Linked DNA regions of Neurospora crassa OR74A. The protein of the gene in region 1 binds, or shares a complex with, the protein of each later gene. Links are inferred from orthologs where the notes say so. Each region holds a gene or a part of one and is shown in the gene's direction. Other genes may lie near its edges.

What was found.
Region 2: the proteins of NCU07409 (region 1) and NCU03936 are in contact, whole or in part, in a crystal structure (PDB 2VDU), measured with the Saccharomyces cerevisiae proteins. The link is inferred for Neurospora crassa OR74A from reciprocal best matches to the Saccharomyces cerevisiae genes TRM82 and TRM8. Residues at the interface, in NP_010449.1 of Saccharomyces cerevisiae: Asp172, Glu189, Leu192, Gly193, His194, Val195, Ser196, Asp208, His210, Asp219, Glu220, His221, Lys223, His226, Gln229, Cys230, Phe231, Ile232, Val233, Asp234, Lys235, Trp236, Phe238, Gly239, Lys241; in NP_010080.1 of Saccharomyces cerevisiae: Tyr69, Val71, Ser72, Pro73, Met163, Lys164, Phe165, Pro167, Asn168, Lys172, Asn199, Thr200, Leu201, Ser203, Glu204, Tyr207, His235, Pro236, Leu237, Thr282, Pro283, Ile285, Leu286.

The regions. Positions count from the first base shown.
Region 1 is NC_026501.1:6,036,471-6,040,683, reverse strand, and holds NCU07409 (hypothetical protein), read left to right. Parts: upstream 1-1,351; 5' UTR 1,352-1,415; intron 1,416-1,472; 5' UTR 1,473-1,581; coding exon 1,582-2,924; intron 2,925-2,993; coding exon 2,994-3,354; 3' UTR 3,355-3,455; downstream 3,456-4,213. Other genes in the region: po (60S ribosomal protein P0, variant), read right to left, coding at 1-685, 751-924; NCU07410 (hypothetical protein), read right to left, coding at 3,549-4,213. UniProt on the Saccharomyces cerevisiae protein: Required for the formation of N(7)-methylguanine at position 46 (m7G46) in tRNA, a modification required to maintain stability of tRNAs; its absence resulting in tRNA decay.
Region 2 is NC_026506.1:2,174,389-2,178,125, forward strand, and holds NCU03936 (tRNA methyltransferase), read left to right. Parts: upstream 1-1,472; 5' UTR 1,473-1,690; coding exon 1,691-1,833; intron 1,834-1,895; coding exon 1,896-2,128; intron 2,129-2,185; coding exon 2,186-2,691; 3' UTR 2,692-3,150; downstream 3,151-3,737. Other genes in the region: NCU03935 (homoserine dehydrogenase), read right to left, coding at 1-966, 1,062-1,098; NCU03937 (intermediate filament protein), read left to right, coding at 3,284-3,737. UniProt on the Saccharomyces cerevisiae protein: Methyltransferase that catalyzes the formation of N(7)-methylguanine at position 46 (m7G46) in tRNA, a modification required to maintain stability of tRNAs; its absence resulting in tRNA decay.

The DNA.
Region 1 (4,213 bases):
CAGGGGCAGCCTCGGTGGAAGCGGCGGGAGCGGCGGAAGCATAAGCCTCGGGGTTGGCAATGCGATCCTTGAGCTCCTCGATCTCGGGCCAGCTGATCTCGGTCTCGATAGCGACGGCAAGAACCTTCTTGTAGGCGTTGACGACGGAGTGGATGACGGAGGGAAGAGTGGGGAAGTTGAGAGCGAGCGAGAGGCTGGCAATGGTGGTGATGGCAGTGGAGAAAGCCTTGAGGAGCTGCTCCTCAGAGATGTCAAGGACATCGGAGGGGAAGGTGTTGCCCTGGTCGTAGACCTGAGCGATGCCCATACCGTAGGTGAAGGGAGAGATGTTGAGCATGTTCAACAGGGTAGCCTCAGAGGGGCCGACCTTGGCGCCAGCCTCAACGAGCTTGAGATCGGTGGTGATTTCAATGGTACCACGGGCGATCTTGGTGGGGACACCGAGGGCCTGGAAGAAAGAGGTCTTGCCGGGTTCCATACCGGTGTTGCCAGCGGGGATCCAGACATCGGCAGGGGCGATGGCACCGGCACGAGCGGGGGCAGCGACCTTGTTGGCGAGGATCTTGTCACGGACCTCCTTGAGGTCGCCGTTGGTGAAGACGAAACCAACGTTGCCCTTGACGAAGGGGAGGAGACGCTCGTACTCGGGGGTGTCGGCGACGAAGGTCTTGAGGGCACGGCGAACCTGTAATGGGTGTTAATTTCTGGGCTTCCCGAAGCGCGACGCTCTTGCGACAACGGGCAACGTACCATGGTGTTCTTGCCCATCAAGACGACAGCCTCACCGCGGAGGGACTGTCTGATCTCGTGCATCTGCTGAGAGCTGACATTGTCGACGGAGACGATGAAGATGGACCGGTAATCCTCCAACAAGCCCTTCAGCTTGTCGAAGTAACCGGCCTTGTTAGCAGACTTGCCCCCCATATCTTCTTTTAGCACGAAGGCAGGATGTTTAAGGGCAAGAGGAGTTCTCTTGTTTAATTTGGTGGTGAAGTTGGAGTTGGTATGGTGACCGGAGGAGAGATTCTGGAAGCCGGACAAAATTTCGGGCGCGCGCAATTGACTTGGTTGATCCGTCTGTGGGAAGCGAGGGGTGAGTGTGGCCCGTGCGGCCGTTGGGGTGCTAGGGCTCGAGTGGGGTTGGCCAATCAGACGGTCAGAAACAAGCACCTCGACTGGAATGTTGTCTTGGCAGGTACCCCAGTACAAAATCGTCAAAATAGCGGCATCAGTTGAGCCTCACGGCACTGCAACGACGCTGCAGTGTATGGCTCGCCTGCTGTACAGCCACGTGTGGCTCAGTAAATAAGTCTGTTCGAGACTTTCTTCAAAGTTCACTCTCACTCATCAAGCATTGCAGTCACTACGTACTTACCATACCCGGAGTGAGGCTGCATCACAACTCCGAATATCAAGTTTGTAGACACCTTCCGCATGTAGCAATTGTCGTATACTAACGAATGCACTCACAGAATCACACTCGACGATCAAAGACGCAAGTGCACTCGATCTCACTTTGCCTGGCCTCAGCATTGAATTTCATATCTACCACCCATAGCCTCTAAGACCCACATCATCAAAATGGCCTTGCCATACCACGTCCTCAAAGTGTGCGACGGCATTGTTTTTGCAGCTCGCGGAAGCAACATTCACTCATTCGACTCCAACTTCAACCCCATCTCAGTATGGAAGTACCCCGTCAAGCAGCAAGAGACCAACGGAGAGAAGGCCGAGAGCGAGACCCCAGCTCCTGTCGTAGAAGCCGAAGAATCACCCGCTCCAGAAGGCCCCCCTGTCAAGAAGAGGAAAGTGGAAGATGGCGAGGTGGTAGCTGTCACGGAAGAGAACAAGGAGGAATCCAAGGAGGACACCACTGAAGGCCAAACTGAGACCAAGACTGAAAGCCAGACCCAAGAAGTGAACAGACGCAGCAGGCGGCAAAAGCAGAAGCAAAAGACCGAGGGCGGTTGGGCGAAGAACAACAAGGCTGTCCTCGAGAAGCCCTTCGTCCAGGGCATGTACCTCACCACCGACGGCCGTCATCTCGTTGCTATTACCGGGTCCGACAAGACCATCTGGGTGTTTGAACACGATGGTGCCGGAAACCTCAAGCAGCTGAGCCAAAGAGCCATGCCCAAGCGTCCTTGCGCCCTCGCCCTTACGCCCGACGATAAGACCATTCTCTCGGCCGACAAATTCGGCGACGTCTTTTCCCTCCCTCTTCTCTTTACGCCCGCCGAGCCAACGGCTGCAGCTGATGTTACCACCACTGCCTCCGAGGTCGCTACCCCCGAACCCACTCCCTCCGCCCCGGCCACTCCCGCTATCCCTACTCCTCCCACCACCGACGTCGCCAAGGCCCAATCCCTTTCTGTCAAGCCGCAAGCCAACGAGCTCACCGTGCACACGCTCCGTAACCTCAAGGCGCTGGAGAACCAGAAGCGCTGCCTGGAGCGCCAGAAGGCGGCCAAGCTCGCCGCCGCCCTGCAGGCCTCGCAATTCGAGCACACGCTCCAGCTGGGTCACGTCTCCATGCTCACCTCGGTGGCCGTGGCCGTGCACCCCAGCCACCCCGGCCGGACGTACATCATCACGGCCGACAGGGACGAGCACATCCGCGTGAGCCGGGGCATCCCGCAGGCACACGTAATCGAGGGCTTCCTTTTGGGCCACGACGAGTTTGTGAGTCGGGTGTGCATTCCCGAGGCGCGCAGGGACGTGTTGATCAGCGGCGGTGGTGATGACGATCTGTTTATGTGGGACTGGGTCAGCGGTAAGCTGCTGGGTAAGGCGCCGGTGTTGGCGGAGGTGAAGAAGGCGCTCCCGAGCGCTGAGGATGCGGAGAAGGTCACCAAGGTTGCGGTGACGAGGATTTTCGATGTTCAGCAGGGTGCAAAGACGCAGATCTTTGTGATTTGTGAACGGTACGTCAAGCTATTCATTTCTTTTTCCAATGTTGGGCAATGTGCATCGGCGGCTGACGGAAATGACAGCATCCCCCTTCTTCTGATTTTTACCCTCACCTCCACCAACACCTTACAACACACGCAAACTCTCTCGCTCCTCGGCAACCCGCTAGATGTCGAGTATCTCAAGGCCGAGTCTAAGCTCCTCGTGTCCATTGATCCCAATACCTCGTCCGAGACCCAGGAGGAAGAAGCCAGTAACGGCGGTGTGTCTTCTATCCTCGCTCTGTCATTTGATGATTCCGAGTCGAGCTGGAAGGTGACTATTGGTGGTCTGAAGGCCACGGAAGCGGCTGAAGAAGAAAGCAGCAGTTTGAGTCCCCAAGACTTGCAGAAGCTTTTGTATACCACAGAGAGCTTGAGGAAGACGAATAAAGATGACGAGTAAGTTGGAAGAAATCACCGGATAGATAAAATTGACTAGAGTATACTTCAAGCCTACTTCGTATGCGCTAGATTCCTCTCGCTTTGATCGCCCATTGGCATCTCTCTGCCCAACCCGACATACGTTTGATTTCGCACCTACCCGCTTTCGTCAAAGACCATCAGCGCCCTCCCTCCTCTTCTTTCGCTCAGCTCGTCTCACCTACCACCAACTTGCCAATGGTGATGATGTGCCGTATGACCAGGCCTCAAGGTATTCGGCCTGATTGGTTCCCAATGGTTCATCCACGGCAACGGCCCTCCTCCACCCATATCCCCCAGTCCTCCTGTTGTACCAGGCTGTCTTCCCGCGGCAGCCCATGGTCTCTCCATGCTAGGCAATGATCTGCCCCCCGCGTCCATCCTGCCCATTCCCAAACCCATACCGCTCATATAACCACCCATCCCAGGCGGCGGCCCTTGAAGCCCGGAACTCTGGTACTGAGTCTGGTAGAAATCCTCCTCCCTCCTTGCCGCCATCTCCACCAACACGGCGGTCACGATCTCCGGGTTCTGATGCAACCAGTCCCCGATCTCCTCGTCCGTTTCTTTTCGAGTCGTCATACCCTCCTCATCGCCATGCCCACTCCTGCGTCTCTTTCCATTTTCATTGATCCTTTCCCCATTCCCACCATGAACCCCATCTCTATTTCCACTTCCATATACATACCCGCTGCTCCTGCTTCTCCAAGGCTGCAGAAACCCCACCCTAGCAAACACCATTTTAAGTAGAGGATCGCTCTCCGGCAGGCCCTCCCATAGCCGCTTGCACAAGAACAGCACCTGCGGCACCGCCGCGTCGGTCCCAGCGCTCTCGAGCATGT
Region 2 (3,737 bases), on another chromosome or scaffold:
TTCCATACCGCTTAGTGTAGAAGCTAATGATGTTGTCACTGCCCTTGAGGGCCGCGATGGGGTGAGAGAGGTCAAACTTCTCCAGCCCGACCTTGACCTGCTTGCTGGCCACGTCGATGCTGCCGACGAAGCGGACAACCTTGCCCTCCTTCTGCGCCTCGGCCTTGACCTCCTCCATCTCGGCATCGAACTCGGGCAGGCGGGCGAGGAACTCGTCGCCGCTGGCGACCGACTCGAGCTGCTTGGGGATCAGGCTCTGCACGGGGAAGGACGTGGGCGACTCGACCTCGAGGCCAGCGTAGCGAGCGAGGATGGTCAGCTTGCGCGCAACATCGAGACCGTTGAGGTCATCGCGCGGGTCGGGCTCCGTGTAGCCCAGCTCCTTGGCCTTGGCCACCTCGGCGGACCACTTGCCGCCGCCCGAGCCCGATGTCGGAGCGAACGAATTGAACAGGAAGGACATGGTGCCGCTGAAGACGCCCTCGATCTTGGTCACCTCGTCGCCCGTCTCAACCAGGTCCTTGATGGTGGAGATGACGGGCAGGCCGGCACCGCACGAGGCCTCATGGTACAGCAAAGAACCACCCTCCTCCTTGGCGGCGAAGATGTCCTGCCACAACTTGTACGAGCCCGAGAAGGCCTTCTTGTTAGGCGTCACGATGCTGATGCCGCGGCGAAGGAAGCTGGGGTAGGCATCGGCGATGTCCTGGGAGCTGGTGTTGTCGACGAGGACCGTCTTGGTGCCCGAGGCGGCGAGGTAGTCGACGAGCTTCGGGAGGGCAAGGGGAGCCTGCGACGAGGAGGAGAGGGTCGAGACGACGCTGTCGAGGGCGATGGGCGAGTATGAGTCGCTGTAGACGGCCTTCTTGCTGGTGGCAATGTAGGTGAGCACCAGCTTCTGGTTCTGGCGGCGAGCGGCCAGCGACTCGAGCTGGGAGAGGAAGCACTTTCCTACTCCACCGGCGCCTGGAAGATGGGAAGGTCAAGGTTAGCAGCGAGGGACGTCGGGGTTGGACGGTCTGGGCTGATGTGGCGCAATTGGGGTACAGGTAATTGCCTACCGATGATGGCAATGTTGACTTGACGAGCTGAAGCCATTGTGTCTATGTAATCTTGATTACGCAGTATAAGAGAGATGGGAATGATCAAGTAAGGTACACTTCTTGATCCGCTTGATTGAGATGGAAATAGTTGACGACCCTGACTCAACTGATAACTGATACTGCAATCTCGTGGGGTTCTTGGGTACCTACCGTGCTAGATTTTAATGGAAAAGTGTCGCCATGTTGGACTGCCGATAGCGGGGCGGCCGTCCGAATCCAGGCCCGAGTTTCGGGAGCTTCATCCTTGTAACCTTCAATTGCTTCAGAGGGACGTGTTTGTAACGGTGGGTATTGCATAGTTTACACGTAGGTTACCTACGCTAAGGATTTTCGAATCTTACGAGTACCGCTTTTCCCCTGCAGGAACACCCTTGGGGTATTTTTTTGCAGCAACACGGGAACCTTGGCTTCCAGATTTGCTTCGCTACCTACACTACACCGGGGATGAAACTTTTGTGAGAGTCGATTCGGAGTCGCTCTCAGTCTCACTTGTTTCCCTATTGGATCCAACAGACTTATTGACTGCACAACAACCGACAGACTTCAGTTTTTTTTAGACCACAAAACCATTCAATTCAGCAGCCATCATGTCCGAACCCAAGAACAAGCGTCAAAAGCGCGAGGATTACCGTGCCGCCCTCCGCGCCAATGGAGTCACTGAGCTGCCGCGCAAGAAGTTCTACCGTCAGAGGGCTCATGCCAACCCTTTCTCCGATCACTCATTGATCTAGTAAGATGGCTTCCATGTGAAGAGATCATTGTTTCCATGCTCTTGAATTAACGACCATCTAGTCCCCCTACGCCAGAGCAGATGGATTGGGCTTCTCTCTATCCTCACTACGCAGTTGAAGAGCCGATTGAGCAAAAGACCGAGACAACTGAGTCTGAGGAATCCACGGGTCAAGAGTTGTCGGCTCCTGCCATCAGGAAGTTGACCAAGCAGGTTGAGGTTGCAGATATAGGCTGCGGTTTTGGTGGTCTGCTCATAGCTCTGGCTCCCGTACTTCCCGAGACTCTTGTTCTAGGTAAGAGTGTTTGACACCCTTCACTTCGTCGATCTGATACTGACTGTGTGAACTCAGGCCTGGAGATTCGTGTCTCGGTAACACAGTTTGTGGAAGACAGAATCAAAGCCCTGCGTGTACAAAACGAGGAGCAAAAGCTGTACCGCAACATTGCCGTACTGCGCGCCAACACGATGAAGTTTATGCCCAACTTTTTCAACAAGGGCCAACTGAACAAGATCTTCATCTGCTTCCCGGATCCGCACTTCAAGGCGCGCAAGCACAAGCAGAGAATTGTTTCCACGACGCTCAACTCAGAGTACGCGTACGTGCTGCGCCCCGGCGGCATTGTGTATACCATCACGGATGTGCCTGACCTGCACGAGTGGATGGTTGGACACTTCAACGCGCACCCGGCCTTTGAAAGGGTGTCGGTAGAGGAGCAGGAGGCTGATCCGCTAGTCGAGATTATGCGCAACGAGACTGAGGAAGGAAAGAAGGTGACCAGGCATAATGGGCAGAAGCATGTTGCTCTTTTCAGGAGGCTGGAGGATCCTCAGTGGCCCGAGGATGTTTCTGCTTGAGCGCGTTCTGGGACATGGAAGGGAGGCTATGGATGTGGACAAAATGCACAATGTTGGTGATACCCGCGTTGATTGGGTTACTGCGAGAGTCAAGTACCTTGAGGCGGAAGCCTTCCTATATGGCGCCCTATGCTGGGGTATATGTCCGGTGTTCACGATATGGTGATGGTGAAGCGGCATGTCTCTGCAGTAAATGACCCCAACTGACCCCCACCCGGGTTACGGACAAGATGACATGTAACTTTGCGCGTAAAATACAGAAACTCGACGGTGGTGTAACGGTGCCCACCGGACGTTCAGTGACTGGACCCCTGGAGAACCCGCGGGCCTCTTGGTCAGACATATGGCATCGCACCACTGGCTCACTAACGCGGTTTAGCATGGCGGCGGCAATGGACTTGCCGGCTAGTGTTAGTGTCTAGTAGAGGCCAGAGCTCTAGTCTAGAGTATGGTACTAAACAGCCCACGAATGTCTATGGCCCAACCCCCCCGCCTGCCTCACCCGCGACACTCCTCACACCGAACCACTTCCACATCGAACTGGCGATAAAACCATGCGGCGACGACAAGCGCCAAATGTCTGCGCTGGAGTATGGCAATGGTTCTTCAAGGAAGAGACATAGCCCTTGCTGCAATTGCTGCTTTCATTTCCTGGGGATATGCTGTCCATTGGTTCCCCGCCATCCGCTGGGCTAACTATGCCTTTGCCGCCGGCGTCCTCGTTACCCTCGTCGGCCTGCTTGCCCTGCTCATGCTTACCTCTCGTGGATCGCATCACCACCGACTCCGACCACCACCACGGCCCCATGGCGCGGCCTTCGTTGCCCCAGGCTCTTGGTCAAAGGAGGTGGCCGCTCTTCGGGCACGCCAGACGTCCACCAAAGCACCGCTCTACCCCGAGTCCCCCAAGGTCTCGGCAGCTCTCGACGAGGTTCTGGGCTACGTCATCCGCGATTTCATACAAGTGTGGTATTCGAGCATCAGCAAGAACCCTGTCTTTACGGATGAGGTAGACAAGGCAATACGGGGCGCCATCTTGACCGTCC